3 linked regions of the Callithrix jacchus genome follow. Each later gene encodes a partner of the first gene's protein in a complex. Links are inferred from orthologs where the notes say so. Each region holds a gene or a part of one and is shown in the gene's direction. Other genes may lie near its edges.

Evidence for each region. The genes of interacting proteins can lie anywhere in the genome.
Region 2: the proteins of WDR20 (region 1) and USP46 are in contact, whole or in part, in a crystal structure (PDB 6JLQ), measured with the Homo sapiens proteins. The link is inferred for Callithrix jacchus from reciprocal best matches to the Homo sapiens genes WDR20 and USP46. Residues at the interface, in NP_653175.2 of Homo sapiens: Asn41, Ser42, Gly44, Arg151, Lys259, Tyr261, Phe262, Gly263, Glu282, Asp283, Asp284, Leu285, His301, Lys304, Ser305, Trp306, Gln374, Asp375, Thr376, Leu509, Arg516, Met517, His533, Glu534, Arg535; in NP_073743.2 of Homo sapiens: Asn205, Thr206, Ser207, Thr209, His210, Arg213, Arg273, Val275, Phe276, Pro277, Glu279, Leu280, Arg281, Phe283, Asp293, Met295, Gln338, Glu342, Tyr344, Thr347, Ser348.
Region 3: the proteins of WDR20 (region 1) and USP12 are in contact, whole or in part, in a crystal structure (PDB 5K1C), measured with the Homo sapiens proteins. The link is inferred for Callithrix jacchus from reciprocal best matches to the Homo sapiens genes WDR20 and USP12. Residues at the interface, in NP_653175.2 of Homo sapiens: Asn41, Ser42, Gly44, Ser45, Arg151, Ser170, Lys259, Ser260, Tyr261, Phe262, Gly263, Glu282, Asp283, Asp284, Leu285, His301, Lys304, Ser305, Trp306, Gln374, Asp375, Thr376, Arg516, Met517, His533, Glu534, Arg535; in NP_872294.2 of Homo sapiens: Glu207, Asn209, Thr210, Ser211, Thr213, His214, Arg217, Arg277, Val279, Phe280, Pro281, Leu282, Glu283, Leu284, Arg285, Phe287, Asp297, Met299, Gln342, Glu345, Tyr348, Thr351, Ser352.

Annotation. Positions count from the first base shown.
Region 1 is NC_133509.1:137,130,158-137,133,657, forward strand, and holds part of WDR20 (WD repeat-containing protein 20), read left to right. Parts: intron 1-572; coding exon of another isoform or gene 573-624; intron 625-2,042; coding exon 2,043-2,225; intron 2,226-2,948; coding exon of another isoform or gene 2,949-2,979; intron 2,980-3,500. UniProt on the Homo sapiens protein: Regulator of deubiquitinating complexes. Activates deubiquitinating activity of complexes containing USP12. Anchors at the base of the ubiquitin-contacting loop of USP12 and remotely modulates the catalytic center of the enzyme.
Region 2 is NC_133504.1:144,020,243-144,023,742, forward strand, and holds part of USP46 (ubiquitin carboxyl-terminal hydrolase 46), read left to right. Parts: intron 1-894; coding exon 895-978; intron 979-3,444; coding exon 3,445-3,500. UniProt on the Homo sapiens protein: Deubiquitinating enzyme that plays a role in behavior, possibly by regulating GABA action. May act by mediating the deubiquitination of GAD1/GAD67.
Region 3 is NC_133506.1:146,261,097-146,264,596, reverse strand, and holds part of USP12 (ubiquitin carboxyl-terminal hydrolase 12), read left to right. Parts: intron 1-2,462; coding exon 2,463-2,692; intron 2,693-3,500. UniProt on the Homo sapiens protein: Deubiquitinating enzyme that plays various roles in the regulation of the immune response and inflammation.

The DNA of each region.
Region 1 (3,500 bases):
GCCTGAAGTGCAGTGGTGCAATCCCAGTTAACTGTCACCTTGAACTCCTGGGCTCAAGCAGTCTTCTCACCTCAGCCTCCTGGATAACTGGGACCACAGGCGTGCCTGATTTTTTATTTTTCCTAAGCAAACTAAAAAAAAAAGAAAAAGTCTCAAGAGTTGAATATGCTGATAGTAATTATGTGTAACTTAATTGTTCATATTTCAAAATTGGATTTTTGTTCTCTAGCTGCCAGTCATATCTTATATTTGTGGCTTTTTTTTTGGCGGGGGGTGGGGGCTGTCTTCCTTGTTCTGAGATGACTGGCGTGTGGTGTTCTGTCAGGCCAGGATTCTCTCTCCCTGCCATCAGAGCCCGCCCAGAAGCTGCCTTTCTCAGACAGCCTGTCCACGGCCACCGTCCTGGGCCCCGCTGCTCACTCACAGCACTCGGCTGAGCTGCCTTCAGCCCACCCTCCACTGGCCCCTTTCTCCTCACTCCAAAGTCAGGACTCCCTTTTGTTTTGTATGGTGCTTTGTATTACACTTTTCAAGGCTCTTTCATGTATATATTCTCTTATTTCATCCTCCAGACAATCCCATGAGGTTGGTAGAACAGAGATTTTCATCTCCGTTTTAACTGAGGTGAGGCTGGGAGAGTGTCCGCATGGCATGTACCCTCATTCCTTTGCCCTGGGGCTCCCAGAGCTACTTGTTACCACTCAGGTCCAGACTTCCACATGTACAAGGTTTTGAGTTTGCTCAAACACGCCTGTAATTTTGAGGTCCTCTTTTCTACTCATTATTTATATTTGTTATTGCAAAGTCAAACATTAGACTACTTGGTTCAGTGTCCCAGGCCTCTTTGGAAGAAAGAAATCTTCAGAACCTGAGGGGGCGGTCAGTAGAGAACTAGAGCCGGGAGCCCCAGAGGGCCACGCAGGGTGAGCTGGGTGTCTTGAGGGACAAGTTCTGTTTCAGGGTTAGTTGTCTCCACCTGAGATTTTCAGACAAGAGTGGGAGGGGATGGGTTTCCCTTATATTTCACAATAAAAGCTCAGCATATTGGGATGACACAGAACATTTCTCATGAAGAAAAGAATTCTTCTTGAAAGGAGGGAGGGCACATTGAAAAATTTCTTTACACTCAAGTGAGAAATCATTTGCTTTTGACTCTCTTTCCCCATCCCCTTAATGGTCAAACAGACTGGTTCCAAATCCAGTCCTGCCACTTACTAGGTAGGTATGGTGACAATTGGTCAAGGTATTAACTTCCCTAACCTTGTTTTCTCATCTGTAAAATGGGTAAAATATTGTCCACTTTGGAGCATTATTTTTAGGGTCAAAGATGATGCATGTAAAGCACCTTGATTATGACCTCGATAAGTGAGTGTTCCCTGACACCTAATTCAGAAGCGGGATCTTGACCCAGGAGGAGCCAGTGTATAGCGTGGGCTCCAGCAGCGGCTCTTAGACTTGAGCAGGCAACGGCATCACCTGGAAGGCTCTTTAAACTACGGCTGGCTGGCCCTACTCCCTCCCATACTCCCTCCCATAGTTTCTGATTCATTTAGTCTGGAGTAAGGTTTGAGATTTCGCATTGCTAAGTTTCCACATGCTGCTGCTGCTTCTGGTTTGGGGACTATACTTTGAGAGCCACGGGGCTGCAGGTGACTGGCCAGTGGACATTTAGGTGCTAAAGACGCGCTTGGAAACTGAGCTCTTATGTGGCTCCTCTGTTAGATACTGATTGAAACGCATTTTGAAAATACTGAATTTAGTATCTCAAGGATATTTCCTGCTGAAGTGTTACATATATTTGAGGGAGAATAAGTTGTGAAAGTAACAGTTTTATTATAGATAGTCTGATGATATCTAGTTGGCTAAGGTATGTGAAAGTGCTTTCATAAAATGTAAGATGAATGTTAAGTCACAACTGAAAAAATATTTTAAATAACTTCATTTTTAAGATTAAACACCATATTGGAGTATAAAATAGCATAACTTAGATTTCTCATCTCAATGTGCTGTTTACTATATGTATTTTTCTCTTTCTCCTCCAGGCTGCTGACTTGAGTAAACCAATAGATAAAAGGATATACAAAGGAACACAGCCTACTTGTCATGACTTCAACCACCTAACAGCCACAGCAGAAAGTGTCTCTCTCCTAGTGGGCTTTTCTGCAGGCCAAGTCCAGCTTATAGACCCAATCAAAAAAGAAACTAGCAAACTTTTTAATGAGGAAGTAAGTAGCACCCTGTCTTAGCTGTTAAGGATCCCTTTAGGAATTGGTGCGTTCTTACCAAGGGTAGTGGGCCTTATTTTGCACTTCAGGCTAAGCCCATTTTCTATTCGCTCAGCTCTCCTCCCTAGTATACCCAGGTTTAAATGTGGTGGATTAATTTGTTGACCTTACCTGTTCCCTTGGGGTAACTGTTTTGTGCATTTTTATGGAGCATGCTCAGGTGTCTGTAACAGGTGTTTAAAAACTCTTCTGCAGTGGAGTTAGGGACAGTACTGTAACTTGGTATTTATAATTTAGGAAAATGTAGAATTCCAAACTTGCTTCACATCACCGAACATTTCATGCAGATCAAAGAACTTGATAACATTTCCTTAGGTGGCTTAAATTGTAGCTAAAGCTTCCGTATGTATGTTTGACAGGCACTGGGCTAAGGAGTACTTCACTTGCTCTTGAAAAATAGTTGCTGTAAACCCACCTTTGACGTAGTTAGAAATCCTGGCACTTAAATTTGGGTCACATGACGTGGCTTTTGCCAGTGTTGTAGTATGTCCTGGGGTTTCAAGAGTTTGAGATATCTGAGCTGTCTGTCCAGGAACATGTCAGGACTGTTGAATGTGGCATATAGAAATTGCCAAATAGATGATGTTTTTAAAAGCTGTTGGAGCATCTTTTAGCCTCAGCTATTGCTATTTCATATTTAATGTTCTTCCTCCTCTGTTTCAGTATGACTTTTCTCCCAAATGGAAAAGATAAGGTAGGCTTGCTGATTTAGAAGCCCTGGGTTCCAATCTCTACTTGGGACCTCACCCCCAATGTGCAAGTGTCGGGCTATGTAGGACCCCTCCCTTAGAAAGGATAAGTGCTTTTGCATTGTTGCAGGGTTTTAACATCATCAACTTGGAACAAAAACACATTATAGAGTATGGTTTTTAAGAAATAATTTTGTTTGGGGAGGAAAATTCAACTTGACAAATGGCAGTTAAAATTTGGATTCTTTGGCAGTCATGGTATTTGCTACATGCAAATTCAGTGTCCACCCAGGTCCTCCTATTTGACATTGCCAGCGGATTTGATGAGATCTCATGAGCCATGCCGCCTCTTCTAGTGTCCTGAGTTGACTGAGAACAAAACTTGTCATCTGGACTGACAGACTGTAGAGGAAAAGTATTTAATTCCATTTCCATTAAAAAGTGTTAAGCAGAAAATATTTTATTTACCTAGATGTTTTATTAATATCATCTGAGGAAGTGATTCTTAAATAGCTAGATGATTATT
Region 2 (3,500 bases), on another chromosome or scaffold:
CTCTATGAACAAGGAAATGTCACAGAATTTTTCAAAGCTGTCGGGTATTAGTCTGGATGTTCTTTTCAGCCTTTGAAGCAGTACCACAGAAATGTTAAGTAGAATATTGATGGCTGGAAAAGAATGAAAAACCATGACATTTAAAAAATGAAAATCATAAGTAGCAGAGTAGAACTCATGATAAGGCAGATACACATATGACAAACACAATGACTTTCGTTCTCCAAAGAAGGCAGGCGGAAGTTCTTATCCTCTGTCAGGGGAGTGGTGGGAGCAGGGGTTGGTAGGAGGTGGTCATCTGATTAATTCAGGATTTCCTTAGTTCAAGAAGAGGGCAGTTTTGTATATGGTTTGAATTTCATTATCTTCCTACTTTCATGCTCTTTGAAAATCTGGACTACCAGAGAAATGCTGTTTTTCATTAAGTACACAATAATGTCACCTTGCACGTTATGTGATTGACTTTTTTGGACCTAAGTTTTAGTGTTTATGATGAGCCTTTACTCTTGATAGTATTTTTCTATTACGATTTTAATTTGTAGCTTATAGGTATTCTTCGTTAAATCACGAGGTTTTTTTCTGAATGCAGTTGGAAACCCTAGTTTATATCTGCCTGTGTTCCATTAAATAAAGCTATATTTGAAAAATCTCTCATAGTAAATTTATGATTCAATGAAAAGAGAGTGTCTGTCAGCATAATGGCACCTAGACCTTTTATTTGTATTTATTATCCTGTAGTTTCTCCTGCCATTCTAATCTTAAGGAAGATTTTTTTCTGATTACTTCTCTAATTTTTACTTAAAAATGACCCTACAGGTTAATTGAGGGATTTAAAACATGGTATGCCAAGTAGATTTGAACATTTTTTAAAGATGAAAATACTTCCCTCTGCAGAGACTTCAGCAACACAGAAACACTGTGTAGTGAACAAAAATATTATTGTGAAACATGCTGCAGCAAACAGGAAGCCCAGAAAAGGTAGGTGAAGATTTAGCTCAGGGGTGGCTTTGTGTAGTGAGAGGGATCCAGACCGTGGGGCCCAGCAGGGTTGGCTTTGAATCTCAGCTTCCTGGGCTCATAGCCATGGAGCCTTGGGGAAGTCAGTTACCCTCCTCACCAGTGAAACTGAGACAAGAACGCTGACCTTGGTGAGGACAACTTGGAGAGCTGTCTGTCCGATTGTTTACTCATTTGTTCATTCATTCAGTCATTCAGCAAATACTTGTTGAGTGCTATCATGTGCCAGATACTTTTTTATGCTGGATAAACAAGTAGTAATAAAATATAATCACTATTCTCTTGGAATTAAGGGTAAATTATAGAAAGTACTTAGAATAGTATATAACAAATAGTAGACACCCAATATTATTTTCATTTGTATTGCGTAAACATTGGGACCTCTTTTTTAGAGACAGAGGTTTAAAATATATGTATCATTTCATAAGGACTTGTGAGGAAATTATTAACACATCAGTTGTAAGAATAGGTGATAAGAGGCGGGGCACAGTGACCTTTAATCCCAGCATACTTTGGGAAGCTAAGGCAGGCCAATCACTTGAGGTCAGGAGTTTGAGACCATTCTGGCCAACATGGTGAAACCCTATCTCTAATAAACAGACAAAAATTAGCCAGGTGTGGTGGCTTGCGCCTATAATCCCAGCTACTCGGAAGGCTGAGGCAGGAGAATCTCTTGAGCCTTGGAGGCGGAGGTTGTAGTGAGCTGAGATTGTGCCACTGCACTCCAGCCTGGGTGACAGAGTAAGACTCTGTCTCAAAAAAAGAAAAAAAAACAGGTGATAAGAAAGTTTGAAAGTTACTGCATTCTGAATTGAAATAAGACCCAATGTTCTCCATCTTTTTTGCATACCAGACAGTTACAGCTTTTGGAAAATCTGAAATAACCAGTTGTTCCCCATTAGTCCACCCTACAAGCCAGGAAAGTTGCCATTTCAGTCTCCCGCGAAGGCTTCCTGTGAGTTAAATCTGTCTTGGCAGTATTCAGGGCAGCTGACAGATGCTCAATACTGCTGTCTAAAACCCTCAAGGGTCTAGACCTGAGATTGAGATCATTTCTCTGCCCAGCCTTCCCAGGCCTTCACCCCAAACATGTACTACTTTCTTTGCTGCAAAACTTACACAAAGTTAGTCACATTGCAGGCAGGCGTCAAGGAGGTAGGCAGGTACCTTTTGTTAGTGAGGAAGGTCACTCACATCTGCCCCCCATCCTTACGACCTCAGTCTGTCTAAGACTGGCCTTGGGTCTTTCTTTGTGGCACTTAGACATTTTTGTTCAGCCCTGGAGGGTTTATACATTACAATGTCTTGTATTCCTATGAAATATGGGGTTCCTTGTAATTCTTATTTTTCTACTGATGTTTTACTTGCTTATTTTTATGACCAGGGCTTTTCCTTAATAGGTTCCTTAAAACTATTCTTTTAAAATTTGTCCTTTTCACATACTATGCATTAAAAATGTACACAAACTAAACAGCATGTACACTTAATTCAGTACATTCATGGAATGGGGGGCTGGAAGGAAACTGGAAGAACCTCTATTCTAGCAGTGTGCTCTGCATAAACTGTTACCTTTGTGACTTTTTACTGAGGAGTGTTAATGGTCACCTAGTAAAAAAAACTTTCTATGTTTATATATTTGGGAAATCCAACATCAAACAACAGAACAATCCCTTTACTGGAGGATTTCTCAAAATCTTCAGTCTGGTAATGTACACATAGGATCTTCAAAGCAGAAAGTAGCATCGCCCAAACTTACTTGGCCACAGAAACACCACATCTGTTAACATTTCCAGTGCTCTCATGAGCCCAGTTTGGGAAATATAGCCCTAAACCAACCCCTGCATTTTATAAATGAGGAACTAGAGCTAGAGGAAGGAAATGACTTGCCCAAAATCACAAGGGTCAGAATGATATTGAGCCTGGCACGCTTGGTGTCCTGATGCCCAAGAGTGTGTGTCAGAAGCATCCATCCCCCTGCCAGTCCTCAGAACCTATGAGTCCAGCCGTCGGTACTATCCACCTTGTCCTCTTCCCAGCCTCCTGTTCTCAAAATCTCTTAAACCTCCTTTCCATCATCTCAGGGAAGATTGTCCAAATATCATTCCTCTCTGGAAGGCACAGGGCAGTGATGGAGAATAATTGCATGGCCTATTTTTATTTGTGCGAAAATTCTGGAACATCACCTTTCACCAAACAGAGTCACACCATTGTACATTTCTCCTGCTGGAATGCTCTTGGGAGCCAGGGATATAGGATAAGTCAGCTCTACATAAGCCAGCATACTTTTATCCTTGCAAACTATTTGGTTGTTTGCTGGTTTGAAGTTTCATAGACCTCCCCTCCTGTTCTGTTTGTGCAGATGGCAGTGTATTCTCTTCACCTAACGGGTGTTGGGTACAACTGATTTTCTATTTCATGGTTTCTTAGGATGAGAGTAAAAAAGCTGCCCATGATCTTGGCCCTACATCTAAAGCGGTTCAAGT
Region 3 (3,500 bases), on another chromosome or scaffold:
TTTTTTCTTTTCTTGTTTTGTAAAGGTTTTTTTAAAAAAATATTCTGTATATTAATCCTTTACATAGTCTAGATATTAGCACTGCAAATAATTCTCCTTATATGTCACTTGTCTCCATTTATGTTGACTTTGCCATACAGAAGTTCTTAATTTTTATGTAGTCAGTCTTTGATGTGTTCTGTATTCTGTTCAGTAGCAACAACAATAACGTAGGTTGAGCATCCCTAATTCAAAAATGTGAAACTTTTTGAGCTGCATGATGCCACATGAGTGGCTGAGTTAGTAATATCTTTACTTTCTGATAGTTCAGTGTACACAAATTTAGTTTCCTGTACTAAATATTTAAAAATAGAAAGTCACCTCCAGGCTACAAGGTGTATATGAAACAAATTTCATGTTTAGACTTGAGTCCCACCCCCGAAATACCTCGTTATGTGTATACTGATATTCCCAAATCTGAAGCAGTCTAAAGTCCCAAACAGTGCTGGTCCCAAGCATTTTGGATAAAGGATACTCAGCCTGTGGTAATACTGCCAATATTATTATTGTGGTTGCTGTTGAACAGAAAACAAAATCTATTGTTGTGTTCTGAGCACTTTTGATTTTCCTACCAGCCTTGTAAGGTGTAGGTACTGCTGTGAGCCCCAGTTTTCAGATGAGGAACTATGGTACAGGGAGATTGAATAAGTTGCCTATGCTGCATATACAGTTAGAGGTAGAACCATAGCACCAACCCAGACAGCCTTGCTCTAGCAGCTGTGCCCCCCCATAAATAGTTTCACTCGTTCCCTTTCTATTTTTACAATAACTTGCAAAGAAAGATGGTATTCGGAGGTTTTTTTTTTTTGAGATGGAGTTTTGGTCTTGTTGCACAGACTGGAGTGCAATGGTGCCATCTTGGCTCACTGCAACCTCCACCTCCCAGGTTCAAGCGATTCTCCTGTCTCAGTCTCCCAAGTAGCTAGGATTACAGGCATGCACCACCACGCCTGGTGAAATTTTTGTATTTAGCAGAGACAGGGTTTCACCATCATGGCCATGCTGGTCTCCAGCTCTTTACCTCAGGTGATCACCTGCCTCGGCTTCCCAAAGTTCTGGGATTACAGGCATGAGCCACTGCACCTGGCCTGTTTTTTTCTTCTTCCCGTGGTATTGGACATTTTCTCATGTTTCTTAGCTTTTTGATTATTTTCTTTTCTTATAAATTGTTGATTGCAAGCCCATTGCCCACTTTGTTTTTTTTTAATGTGAGATTTTCTATGTTATAATGTTAATAATTTTTAGGTTTCACTTTTTTTAAACTTTTAAAATATTTCTAATACACAGAACTTAATTTTATATCCGTATCTCTTCTAAAATGTAATTGTTAATTGCTTTTATCTTAGACTTTACCTGAATTTTTTTCTAAATTTGTATGCATTCATTTTTAAAATGTAAAATCTTTCTGGAATTTATCAAATGTACATTGAGGATCTAAAAATAAAATTTTCTAAAAAGGTTATTTTTCTCAATGCATTTTATTGAATAATTCATGTATGTTCTCATGTGTGGGCTCACACTGGCTATTACTTTGTGTGTGGCATGGTGGAATCAGGCTGCCCAGTTTGAATCCTGGGTCTGCCATTTCTTGGCAATGTGACTTTACCCTCTCTGGTCCCATCTCCATATTTAAAAATAAAGTTAACAACAATATTACGTGGTTGTTGAGGGTCAAATGAGATGCTGTCACTAAAGTCCTTACTGTTCTGTGGTAGAGTTGTACATTGCCAAGCACAGGGTAAAGCACTTGATGTTAGCACCACCAATATTTCCATTATATTTACTCATTTGTATAACTGCAGAGAACATTTCATGGAATTATAAAATCCGACATTTGGAAGGGACTTGAGATTATCTAGATTACATAGATAATTCTTGATAACATGATTCTTAACCTGACTCTACATCGGAGTTAGTTGGAGGAGCTTTGAAAAGCCCCACATTCTGGCCTCACCCCTTACTAACTAAATCAGAATCTTGGGGATGTATGGTTCAGTAATTTATTTTTGATGAACTTTGTGGTTCTTAAGCAGTTGGCTTGGCATTGGCAAATGGTTGTCCAACTTCTTTAAAGCTTGCTGTGTTGAAATATTGGTGGAACAATAGGTTAGATAAGTTAATAAGCAATTTCTTCTTAAATTCTCAGTATCTGTTATGCTGATGTCTGAGGATAGGTTTTGCCCTTTTCTCATGGATCAGTTAGTAGTATTTTTAAACAAGATTTTAATTAATTTTACATTTATTTTCCCCAAATTTAGATGAAAGTTTTAGATGTGAAAGTTATTTATTTTTTACACCTTACAAAAACATTGTGCATTTATATTTTAGTTCTGATCCAATACTATATATTTCTTTGATAAATTGGTTTTTCATGAAGTTGTATGTTCAGAAATAATTTTCTAATATTATGTTTTTATTTTTAGAGCTTTTTGACAACTACATGCAACAAGATGCTCATGAATTCTTAAATTACCTACTAAACACGATTGCTGATATTTTACAAGAAGAGAGAAAGCAGGAAAAACAAAATGGTCGCTTACCTAATGGTAATATTGATAATGAAAATAATAACAGCACACCAGACCCAACGTGGGTTCATGAGATTTTTCAGGGAACATTAACTAATGAAACCAGATGTCTTACTTGTGAAACTGTAAGTATATCATACAATTTTGTGTAGAAAAAAATTGAATCATTACATTAAAGGTTATTCTTTGTGGAAGAGAGGATGGAAGATGAACTTGAAAGTTGTAATTCTTAGATATAGGAGTTAAAGATATATTTTTTAGTTGAAAGGAATCTGTCTGTACTCTTAATGTAATATTGCTTATTGATAATGAATACCTGAGGTGATAGAAAGATACTTACTGTAGATTGAACTGTTTGATTTTCTTTCAGTTTAAGAGACCATAGAACCATGTTACGGAAATTATGTCTTAGGACATAATCTCATAGGATTATACAGATCAGGGAGGCGTATTAATTTGTTTTTCCTTTTTCTACGATTACCTTCAGTGTCCATTGTTGGAATAAAAACTAAAGCATATAGTGTACCCTCAACAAGGGGAAAATATTTCATTTGCTGGACACTTTGTAAGGATGAAGCTAGAAAATGTTTACATTCAGGCTGGAGTGCAGTGGCAAATCTCAGCTCACTGTAACCTTTGCTTCCTGGGCTCAAGCAGTCCTCCCATCTCAGCCTCATGAGTAGCAGGGACCACCAGCATGTGACACCATGCCCGGCTTATTTTTAAATTTTTATTTTTTTAGAGACAAGGGTCTTACTGTGTTGCTCAGCCTGGTCTTGAATGCCTGAGCTCAAGCAATCTTTCCACCTTGGCCTCTCAAACTGCTGGGATTACAGGTGTGAGCCATTGTGCCTGACCAGTAATATTCTTTATAGCATTTTCCCCATTCAGTACAGAATCCAGTTTAGAGGTGGACATTGCATTTAGTTGTTT